Notamacropus eugenii: one gene and its partners. The protein of the gene in region 3 interacts with the protein of the main gene of each other region in a pairwise test. Links are inferred from orthologs where the notes say so. Each region holds a gene or a part of one and is shown on either strand. Other genes may lie near its edges. The genes, in order: STX6, STX16 and NAPB.

Region 1 (3,747 bases), on a different chromosome or scaffold from region 3:
CAAACTGACTCAGATCCTAGACAGCAGAAAATACACTTTAGTTTCTTTTTTAATCCCACTCAAAACCCATCACATTAGCCCAATGATTAGAAGAAGGTTCATCAAACTACCATCAAATAAGCAAATGTACAAAACTAAGCAATAACAAAATCCACTCCCTTCATCTTTCCATGGCACAAAAGGTATTACTAAATGCCTTCCTACTGAACAACCTTAACATCAAAGGGGGAAATAATGAACAAAGCAACAAAAAGAACAGCTCAACATTCCATGGTTGGAATTTTAAACTTCTGTCACTGTACCTATATTGGAAGGCTAAACACAATGAAAAGATGGCACAGCACTTGGTAGCGCTTTGAAATTTCATACAATTATCACGTACTTCTCCAAGTCTATAACTGCCATTTCTACTCGACTCAAGCATCAATGAGGAGAAACAAAGGATTTAAAATAACCAATTCCTAAATACCAGAAAACTTTATTATAGCTCACACTTTCTTAACTTAGAAAACTAAATATCATATATATATATATATATATATATATATACACGTGTGTGTGTGTGTGTGTGTGTGTGTGTGTGTGTGGAGAGGGGGAGAGAGAGGGAGAGAGGGAGAGAGAGAGAGAGAGAGAGAGAGAGAGAGAGAGAGAGAGAGAGAGAGAGGAGGGGAGAGAGGGAGAGACAGAGAGAGCTTGAGAGAAAAGAGCAGTGTTTTACAACGTATAAAGCACCGTTTCTTAAACAATCCAATAGTAAATGAAGAACCGGAGAAAGCAACAGTTTAGCTCAGCAGGTTTTTCCACCTTTATGACACAAAATTAACTATAGGGAAAAGAACTTTCAAGGGCACTATTCAGAAGAAGGATGAACTTTTTACACTGTATTTTCCCCCAAGAATCACAATACAATGATTAAATGTGCTTGACACTTGAGAGTAAAAATATTAGCATTCGCAAAAAAGACAACCTCTCTGTAGGCTTTGCCCTCTATAGTAATGAAGTTCATGACAACTAAGAAAGCAAAATAGCATAAAAAGTTAGCTATGTGTTTTGCACCCTTCAATCTTTCAGATATTCTTATCCAGGCAAGAGCATCCAGATCTGCAATTAAGAGGATTCAATTCAAATCCTATCAAGACCTCGGCTAAATCATTCAATCGGACCTCTGTGCTTCACTTTCTTCAACTGTAAAATACAGGGATTTTTACTTTCAAAGCATCTTGTAATACAAAATCTACAATGCTCTTCTCACCCGAAAATAGAGATTACATGCTAGAACTGTGATTTTTTTTCCCTCCCTGACGAATAACTTTCTACCAATGCAGGTCAGCACACAGAGTGCTAAGAGGATAAGTGACTTTTCTAAGGGGTTATAGGCTATTACATGTCAGAGGTAGGGCAATCAAGTTCTTCCTGGCCTCCTCTCTATCCACTACACTAAGATGCCTCTCCAACATATACTTCCTAATTAAGCTGTTACTGAAAAATTACAATCTTATTCTCTTTCTACCATTCGTTAAAGGCTTTAGTCAACTCAAAAAATGCTTTTTTTCGCCTTCCAACAAAACAAAACAAAAAAATCCCAACAATGGATAATCAGAGAAGACGCCAACTAATGGAAAAACAAATTTGAGACACTTAAAAGATCAATCCAGGTGATGACTTAGCAGAAAAAGCATCTGAAATAGACTGGATTAACTACAGGAGTTTTTAAGACAGCTCATTTCCTTCAAGGAGCGTGGGAAAACACCCGCTGCTACTGGAAAGCCGTGCAAAGTTTGGTTTGGCTGGTTTCGCTCGGTTTTCTTTCCAACACCATTACTGAGCATGGAAGGTTGTTTCTCTTCCATAGTATTACTCAATACACTTTAAAAAATCTCCCCCAGCATTCAGTTTGCTCCGCATTCCCTCTGCCCACGGCTCCCCACCCCCCGGCTGTCTGCCCACCCTCCCCACGCCTCCCTCCCAACAGGCTTCGACACTTCTCGGCCGTCCGTGGGCTCCCCCAGACTGAAGGCTCCGTCCTGGAGACAATGGGAGTTTACTCAAGTGGAGTCCATCTGGGGGCTGGGCCGGGGACTCCACAGGTGGAGGAAATCACTCCCCCGGCGCAGGTCCGTCCATTCTCCGTGGTCAGTGGTCAGAGAGGCGGCCCCCAGCCCCGGAGCTTCAGTGAATGGCCCCGAGCCCCCCTCGCGGCCCGCGGCTGACACAGGCCTCTCCTTTGACGCATGCAATGGCTCTCACTCCGGGACGTGGGTAACCCACGCATGACCGTCCTCCCCTCTCCGAACACGCAGTGCACCCCCACCCCGTCACCGTCCGGGGCTGACAGATCGGCCAGACCCCGGTCTCAGGGGGCTCCAGGCCGCAGGGGTGCTCGACCCTGAGGAAAGGTCCCCGGGGCTGCTCCGGAACAGGCCGGCGCGCTCCGTGCGTCCGTGCCCGAGTGGGAGCGCGCGCGGCGGGGCCGGGCTTCCTTCCCCAGACCGCCTTACTCACCCTTTCACCACAAAGAAGGGGTCCTCCATGGACATGGCGTCCCGGCGGCCGCCCCGCCGCAGCCCGTCCGCACGCACCGGGCTCCTCCTCCCCGCGCTTCCGCCGCTCCCTGAGGTTCACGGGGCTTGAAAAGTCGGCGGGCCAGCGAGGGGAACGCGCGCGGTGCCGCCGGCGCGACAGTCTCGCAGGAGCGGCCTGCCGCTAGCAGCAACGCAAAGGAGGCGGCCGCAGGCTCCAGACTCGATCACCGTCCGCCTCCCCGCCCGGACCCTCCCGGGCCGGCTCCCCCCCAAGCCTCCGCCCCTAGTGGCCCCGCCCCCTCGGCCCCGACCAATCACAAGCACACTTACTGAAGCACCACTTCCGCACTCCGCTCTCACGTGACATGGCCAGGGCCCGCCCCCTCCTCCAGTAGAAGCTGTGGGTTTTCGGTCACGTGACGAGAGTTGGGGCCGCCAGGAGCCTCGGGAGTTGGAGGCGGGGCTGCTTTCCCGTGTCACGTGGCCGGGGAGGCTCATTTCTAGAGGAGGGACGGGTCTCCAATGATACTCTTTTCATACCTCCCCGGGGGGGAGGGACCTTTTTCACCCGGTTTACGAAGTGGTTTGAGTTTCCCGCTCTACGTTTTCTGTTGCTAGACCGTGCCTCCCTTCTTTTTACTTCCATCTTGACAATCGAAAGATTGTTCCTTTATTTTCGTCACATCTGACCCTTGGGGCCCCTTTGGGGTTTTCTTGGCCAAGATCCTGGAGCGGTTCGCCTTTGCCTTCTCCGGCCCGTTGGACAGACGAGGAAACTGAGGCCCACAGCGTGAAGCGAGGCGCCGGGGGTCACCAGCTGGGAAGTGCCCGGGGAGGGCCGAGCCTGTCCGGGGCTTCACCCCCCAGAGGCCTGCATGGTTCCTGTGCTCTAGTCTGGCCAAGTTTCTTTTCTTTACGGTGTTGTGCTCCTATAAGCTGGTTCTTCTAGACTCAGAAATGAAGGGGATCCACTAATCTGGATTCACTGAGGACCACGACTGCCGTAGTGCATAATGTAATGTCCACGCTTTGTTGTATTTTCGCTTATTTTGTTACGCACTTCCCAATTACACTGTAATATTATTTAGGGAGGGCTGTTGGAGACCTGTCATCCGGACAATCAACAAACAATACATTAAACCCTCATTTATAGCTTGCCTATTTCCTTTCCGGCCTCAGGAGCTGACTCCAACACATCTCTGCCCTGCCAGGCCCTCCAGGAGCT
Region 2 (3,747 bases), about 93 Mb from region 3:
ATCTTAACCCAGCAGATGGTAATGCTTTTTGATTATCATAAATCCTGAGTTAAAGAGATATTAGTATCAAAGAACTTTAGACTTCTAAAGGCTTTAGAGATAATTTAATCTAATCCCTTACTTCACAGACAAGGAAAGTGAAACTCAGAGAGATGATTTCCCCAGGATCACACTGTTAAATTAGTAGCAGAGGAAAGGGCTTAGGCTTCCTGACTCCTAAACAATTGTGCTCCTTCTATTCTACCATATCCTACCATGCCTCCTCTCTAGTTTGATTTCGAACTTTTGAAAAAAAATTGAGAGAAAATTGAGAATTTTGTACATACTACTATTTTCAAAGCTATTTTATTTTTCAGGGCTTTGTGCCTTGATCAGCAGTACTACTATCACATACTTTTTGAAAAGTCTGGTTTCCTGCTGGGAAATGGCTGTACTTGCAAAGTATAAACAGCCTTATTTCACTACTACTCCATTATGAAAGGCACAATAACTTTTAAACAATTTGTTCTGTAAGGTATAAACAGAAATTGGTAATTGATATATTGTTCTTCTGTTTCCTAAGTTGCACCAGTCTAACTTTCCCCATTTAGGGCTTGAATAATTCCATGTCTATATTATCAAACATCTTTAGCCTTTTTCAAGATTGTATTTTAAAAATAATTTATAAGATTTGTTTTCTGAGAACCTCTATACAGTAGTTTTATTCCCCAGCATACATAACCCATTATGTGGAAGATTCCTCCACAGAAGCAGATTGCAAATAAATTTATGATCTATTAATTCCTAAAGTTTGAAGTAATTAAAGGTTAAGTAACTTGCCTAGGGTCATAAAGCTAATAATCGCCAGAACCCAGTAGACTAATAAGCTCAACAGGATATTAAGTATAGCATGCTTCTAAGATCTGGGCTTGGAATCAGGAAGACTCATTTTCAAAAGTTCAAGTCCAGCCCCCCACACTAGCTGTGGACCTGGTCAAGTCACTTAACTGTTTGCCTCAGTTTCTTCATCTGTAAAATGAGCCAGAGAAGGGAATGGCAAACTACTCCAGAATCTTTGACAGGAAAACTTCAAACGGGGTCACTACAAGTTAGATCCAACCTAACTCAACAATACCTCTAAGGATCATAGCTTTTCAGATTCCTAACCAAGTGTGTATATGCAAATATAGCAGGTCACGCATGTTTTGGTACTTGGGCCTATTTCATCTCAAATCTAACATCTCATAAAACAAAACCATACTTTTTCAGCTCAAAAAATACAGACTATACGTATGAATCGATAAAGAAGGGACCGAGTATATCCTTAGAGAGTCACTTTGTGAATATCCCACATATGAAATAAATTTTCAGAAGAAATTGGTGGTAATCATAGCAAAATTCAAGGGGTCTCTGAAGGAGAGCAAGTTTCTAGTAAGTCTCTAAAGTGGCATTTCTAAGTCTATGGGTTTAAATGACAGTTCCTAAGTATTTGTCTCTGTAAGAGCTGAGTCATGTCTTCTAATAATATAACCACCAATACCATTTTTAATTTAATGTAATTTTAAATTTTAATTTAAACACCATTTCTACTAATAAATCTAAACTCAAGCTAGGATTCATTTTTGAAAAGTGTGGTGCCACAGGCAATTTACTGGACTGCTGGGCTAATAGGCCTAAAAAAAAAAAGTGCCAGTATTAATTTAATTCCCACACAGACACCGTGTGAAAGGCAGTCATAATGAAAGGACTCATTTCCTGAATGGAAAATGAAAACAGGGAAGTCCACCCCTTCCCAACCTTACAGTTTCACAAAACTGTCTTCTTCAGGAAATAGGGAAACAAATTATTAAAAGCATAAAGCAAGAAGAGACTCGACTGCCACACAGGAATGGAAAATCCTCACTGGATAAAATGAGGCTAAAACGACTCCATTCCACAGAGTCATTTTGAAGAGAATATCTGTTGGACAAAAAGGGGAGGCATCGGAATGAAAAGACAGGGGAGGAGGGGGTGAGGGTAAACATGAAGCCACGAAAGCCTGAGACAGCGCTTCATGAAGCATCCAACACAGGGCTTCAGAACCGAGCAGGACCCGGCGGGAGGAACTCGTCCGAGTCCGCAGCGAGGGCGGCTCTGTGAAAGTTGGAAGGGAAAGCCCAAGGAATGGGGGGACAGGGGGACAGGAGGGAGAGACGGCAGGGGGGGGAGAATTCAAAACAAAACCTAGCACTACAGTCTGATGCCTCCTAACAACCACAAGACAACGACATTTCAAGAGAGACACAGAGAGAAAGGCATTGACAGAGACGCGTAGACACACAGAAAGGCAGAGAGACAGACAGAGGGACAGAGAGACAGAGAGAGTGAGAGAGAGAGAGACAGAGAGACAGAGGGACAGAGAGAGAGAGACAGAGAGAGAGAGAGAGAGAGAGAGAGAGAGAGAGAGAGAGAGAGAGAGAGAGAGAGAGAGAGAGAGAGACAGAGACAGAGAGACAGAGAGAGAGACAGAGAGAGACAGAGAGAGAGAGACAGAGAGAGGGACGGCGCGCACGCCGGAGCGCGGGGCACCGCGAGGAGCAGGTGGAGGAGGCCGGCAGGAGACTCACCGCAGCAACGCTACGTGAATGCAGAGGGCTGGAGGTGGAGGAGGTGTAACTACTCACTTGCTCGGCTAACAGCTGCCGGTTTTGGATGGAATTGTTCCGCAACAACAAGAAAGCGTCGGTTAAACGCCGGGTGGCCATGCTTAACCCTGCACGCCTCCCCGTGGGGGACCCCCACTCAGAGCCTCGGCCTGAACCTCAGAATTCCTCGGACCCTGCGGGGGCCGCCTCCCCTCAAGCTTCCCCACTTTGCCCTCAAGGGGCAGGGGCAGAGTGGGAAGGGGGGAGTAAAGGGGGAGGTCCCCCGCCCACTCCTTCCCCAAATCCTAGCTTGGATTTCTAACGGTCTAATTCCCACCCGACCCCGGGTGTCTTGCCGAGCCCCCGCCCTTCTTGGGGTTGTCCTGGGTCCCCCTCAGGGAGCCCCGGCCGGGCCTGGCCCCTCCAGATCGTTCGGAGCCCGTCCACGGGCCTGTCAGAGCCCAGCCGGGCTCCCGGCCCCGACGTCCCGGGTCTTCGTCCTCCTCCCTCCAGGGGCTCGAGGCAGGAGAGCCTCACGCCCGGCGCCTCGTCCCCCCTCCGGCTACAGGGCCTCCCGGGGGGGAAGCAGCGCAATCCTCAGCCTCATCATTCCTGTACTCCGCCGCTGCCGCCGCCGCCGCCTCCGGCTCCATCCATCCCCGGATCTGACTACAGCAGCCCGGCCACTTCCGCGTCGGCGTTCCATCGGCTCAAGAGTCCCCCTTCCCGCTTCCGGTCCGTCCTCCTTAAGTGGCCCCTGCCGCTGCTGCCCGGGCTCCTCACGTTCCGGGCGCTCTTCCCTCAGCTCCGCCCTGCTCCCTTGGCCCGGCCCCCAGCCCGGCTTGGTAGCTGCGCTCAGAGCTTTCTCGGTGAGGCCGTATCCTCAAATGCTGCTCTAGTTCCGCTTTGTCCTACCTTTCTCTTCCTGAAAGGAGAATAGGGTTCAGAGCTGGACTCTTCCTTAGAGACCAGCCCCTTCATTTGATGAGTGAGGAAATGAAGCCCATGAACGTGAAGCGGATTTCCCAAATCTCAGAGGTTTGGGAAAGGGCAGACTGGTGACTCCATCCCAGCCCCCACGGGCCGGTGCTCTTTATTAGCCTCTCATTCTGGGGTTAACGACCACCAAAGGGGTGGGAAGATC
Region 3 (3,747 bases):
TCTCTGAGGCAGAATGAGGAGGGATTCCATTCCAGCCATGAAACGACAGTCTGTGGAAAGGCTCAGAAGCTGAAAATAGGAATGCCAAGTTTGAGGAATAGTAATTAAGTCAGTGGGCCGTAATAGAGTATGCAGTCTTTATTTACTTCATCTAAAATAGCTATCTTATTTACCTGAAGGAAAGGAATCAAACTCTAGGGACTTTGGGGATTTCTTTCAACTCAGACATATGACTCTAATGTTTACTGACAGAAGGAACTTCAGAAAGATTGAGAGGTGTTTTGTTTTTCCCCTTGCGAGGTTTATGGTCTTCTAAAGAGGTGAAATAAGTTGGGTCAATAGAATATGATAAAAAAGAAAAAATTTTAACCTATTCTTTCCTTAAAACGAAAGGAACCCCTCTATTTTGGGAGATATATATTAAGAAAGATATGAATAAAAATGTATTTAGAAAGAAAAACAAAAGGGATTTCCAAAAGTTCTTTTAGGTCTATGTTTTATATACTACTCAAGAGTTAGCTGAGTTCTTTTGGGAAAAAATGTGTAAAGGAAAATATGTTTTAAAAAAGCAACAACCTAATAATAACACTGAATACTTTCCTTGAAGATAATCCTTTTGACTTTAAAAGCAGAGCAATACAAATTTAATATATTGTAAAAATGATTCCTACTACATAGAGTGACATATGAAATTGAAAATAATCTTAGTATTTCTTTTGATTAAATTTTATTATATTAAATAAAACTAATCTGAGGGTCTGAAAAATGGGCTAATAGCACATCATCAAAGAGTAATCATAAATTACAAGGTACTCTATATAAAGTATTTGTATACACTGTATATTATATCACATAAATCTCACAAGGCCTACTTGGTAGACAATGAAAGTAATATCTTCATTTTATAGATGAGGAAACTGCCTTAAAGTTCTTCTAGCTCTACTCTCATGCTGCTTCTATTACACTATGCTGCTTTTCAAGTATGCTAATAGTACTTGCTAAACATCAAGATTTAAAAGAAAATCCTATAAGATAGTCATTAGAATTTCAGATTCTGTATCAAATGTAATAAAGAATATTTACCATTAACTAAAGAGAAAAAATGACAATAAATGATAAATCCACTACCAAACAAACGCTGAACTTGCAGAAGAAAAAGCAGTCTAAATGAATTTGATTTCTTCCAAACTCACACTCTATTAAGAGAATGACCAATTAAAGAAAATAAAAAGTTGGCTCCAGAAAAAGTGAACCTGTTACATGTATTTTTCTTTACTACGATTTCAAACTAAAACTACAGGAAAAAAAAGAAAACTATAACACAAGAGTGCTATAAAATACACCTCTACAGGAAGCAGAATTTTGAAAAGGATTTGCCAGAATTAAACGACAGTGAGATCTTCCCTGCTTGATTAAAATGGGGTGAGTTTTCACTTTTAACGGGAGTGAGGAAATGTCACTGTTTTTCCATTTTAAATAGCTGAATCATTCAAAAGCAGTTGAATTCAGGAAGCAGCAAATATTGCTATTCTTCTAGTTCTTCTTTATCAAGTGTGCCAAATTAAATTTCCCATCAGAAACTACTGAAAATAATTAAGAGATCAGCTGAATTTCTGATACTGGTTTTAAATATTTACTATTAATGAAATGAGCTCTTTTGGCTATAGAAGAGACAAAAGAAATGAACCCATTTAAGCAATTTATTCATTTATCAAACTGAGTGCCTTCAAATGGCTCTGTGTTATGCATAACTGTAGCAAACAGGCACTAAGCAAATGATTAAAATCCGAGAGGAATTCTTACAGGGCCCAGCGTCTGCTGCCAGAAACAGAAAAACCCAGAAGGAGAATTCATCCTTTCCTCCTGCATAAATCTCTAGTGATAACATGGCCACAAGCCAGAGCCGAAGGATTAACAGTAGCTAAATCTCTGCATCGCTTTCATACCAGATTACATTATTAAAAACTCTCTCCTCAGACGTTGGAAGATAAGTTAACTCGTTTTTAGTCTGGGTTCCCAAAGGGCTATTTAAAGACTTCAATTCAGAACTAAAGGCGAGATGGTCCTCAAATTAACATCCACCCAGGAGCTTCCAACCAACCAAGAAACGAACTCAGGCACGGGCGTTCGGCAGTGAACCTCCGGCAGGGGGGAAATGACAATCTGTTGCTGGTCGGCATGCACCCGAGTGTCGGGGGGTTGGGGGGTCCTTCAGTACGGCGGCTAAGGCCCCTCAACCCCGCTCCCTAAATAAGAAGTGCTAGACTCGCAGTAGGCCGGGCGCAAGGCGGAGGAGGGGGTGGACGGGTTATTTGTCCTTATCCACCCTACAGAGGTGACGGGCACCAGGAGGCCCAGGGATTCCGCGAGCCTCCCGCGGGGACTGCAGCTTCCTCCCCGAGGGAGGCAGGAAGCCTCCCCATCCCCGACGCCCAAGCTCCGGCTCAGTGCCGTGGGGAGGTGCGCGCTGTCTATCCCTCCCGCCCCCTGATGCGGGGCGCCAGGCCCACTCGGAGGCCCCGGGGGACGTGGGAGAGAGAGGGGGCGGACGGTGGCGGAACCCCCGGAGCAGCGCGGCGGGGGCGGGGAGGGGGAGGAAGGAGCTACCCCGCAGGGCTGGCGCTCACCCAAACAGCCCTCTCAAGAACGAGTGGGAGGACTTCACGCGCTTCTCGGCCTCCGCCATCAGCTGGACCGCCTCTCGTTCCTTGCCCGCATTGTCCATGTCTGTCGCCTTTAAGCTCCTCGGATTCCGGGTGGAGAATAACTGAGTAACGGCGGCGGAGAACGACGATTCAGCCTAACGGAACCCCCAGCTTGCTGGCTGGGGAACGCGCCTCTAGAGTTTCTCCTCAGCGGAGGGGAGGAGGGAGAAGCTCAGGTCTGGGTCGCAAAGCATTTCGGGATTTGTAGTCCATTCTCCCCGCTTTGGTCTCAGAATTCGAAGAGGCGAAAACTACATTTCCCAGAAGAGAGTAGGACCGGTGCAGTGTGCGGACTCGCTCCCTTCCGCCCCCTGGTGTGGCAAACCTGTATGCTAGAGATGCTGCATTTGGGGGGGTGTGACCCGACGTAGGAGGGGTAGGGAGGATGCGAGTTAAAGAGTCGCCAGAGCCTGGGAAGCATAAAATGCATATTATCATTAGCCATTTTGTCCGTTCACCCAACCTTTATTAAGGGCCACTTTGATAGGGAACCTTGTACTAAGGTACAGGACAAAATAATGCATTCTAAATGAGGTGGCGGTCCTCACGAAGCTTGAAGTCTAAAGGGGGGAAAGAAGGCACAGACGCAGATAATAGGACACGATGATCCATCCTTGGGTCCCCAAACACCAGGCTTGATTCTCTCTTCATAGTCCCTGGAATATGTTTCTAAGGCTTTCACGGAATCTCGGGATTCTATGAGCAATGGTCATTGACAGGTCATTGATCACAGGCTGGGGTGCGGACGTCTGCAAGGTGCAGAAGAGAAAGTCCTGCAGTCAGGACACGGGAGGCGTCAAGCCCTCAGCCTGACACCGGCTTTGGGACCCTGGACAGCTCCGCGGTGACAGCACCGAGGCGGGAGTGGAACCTGACTCACCTTGGGGATCTCAGCCTTGCCAGGACTCATCTAAAAAAACGAGACAGTTGAACTGAATTACCCTAAAGGACCTTCTAGCTCTAGATTGATAAACCTTGTTTCCATATCTGCAGAATAGAGATCCCGGTTCTAGCGCCTGATTCTAGAAAGACTTGCTTCCAC

What was found.
Region 1: the proteins of NAPB (region 3) and STX6 interact in binary tests that used the Homo sapiens proteins (3 or more experiments, as listed by UniProt). The two-hybrid records come from large-scale screens. The link is inferred for Notamacropus eugenii from reciprocal best matches to the Homo sapiens genes NAPB and STX6.
Region 2: the proteins of NAPB (region 3) and STX16 interact in binary tests that used the Homo sapiens proteins (3 or more experiments, as listed by UniProt). The two-hybrid records come from large-scale screens. The link is inferred for Notamacropus eugenii from reciprocal best matches to the Homo sapiens genes NAPB and STX16.

What each region holds. Positions count from the first base shown.
Region 1 is NC_092873.1:464,547,054-464,550,800, reverse strand, and holds the start of STX6 (syntaxin-6), read right to left. Parts: upstream 2,847-3,747; 5' UTR 2,538-2,846; coding exon 2,503-2,537; intron 1-2,502. UniProt on the Homo sapiens protein: SNARE promoting movement of transport vesicles to target membranes. Targets endosomes to the trans-Golgi network, and may therefore function in retrograde trafficking.
Region 2 is NC_092872.1:506,554,920-506,558,666, forward strand, and holds the start of STX16 (syntaxin-16), read right to left. Parts: upstream 2,857-3,747; 5' UTR 2,724-2,856; coding exon 2,586-2,723; intron 1-2,585. UniProt on the Homo sapiens protein: SNARE involved in vesicular transport from the late endosomes to the trans-Golgi network.
Region 3 is NC_092872.1:599,919,130-599,922,876, forward strand, and holds the start of NAPB (beta-soluble NSF attachment protein), read right to left. Parts: upstream 2,941-3,747; 5' UTR 2,726-2,940; coding exon 2,628-2,725; intron 1-2,627. UniProt on the Homo sapiens protein: Required for vesicular transport between the endoplasmic reticulum and the Golgi apparatus.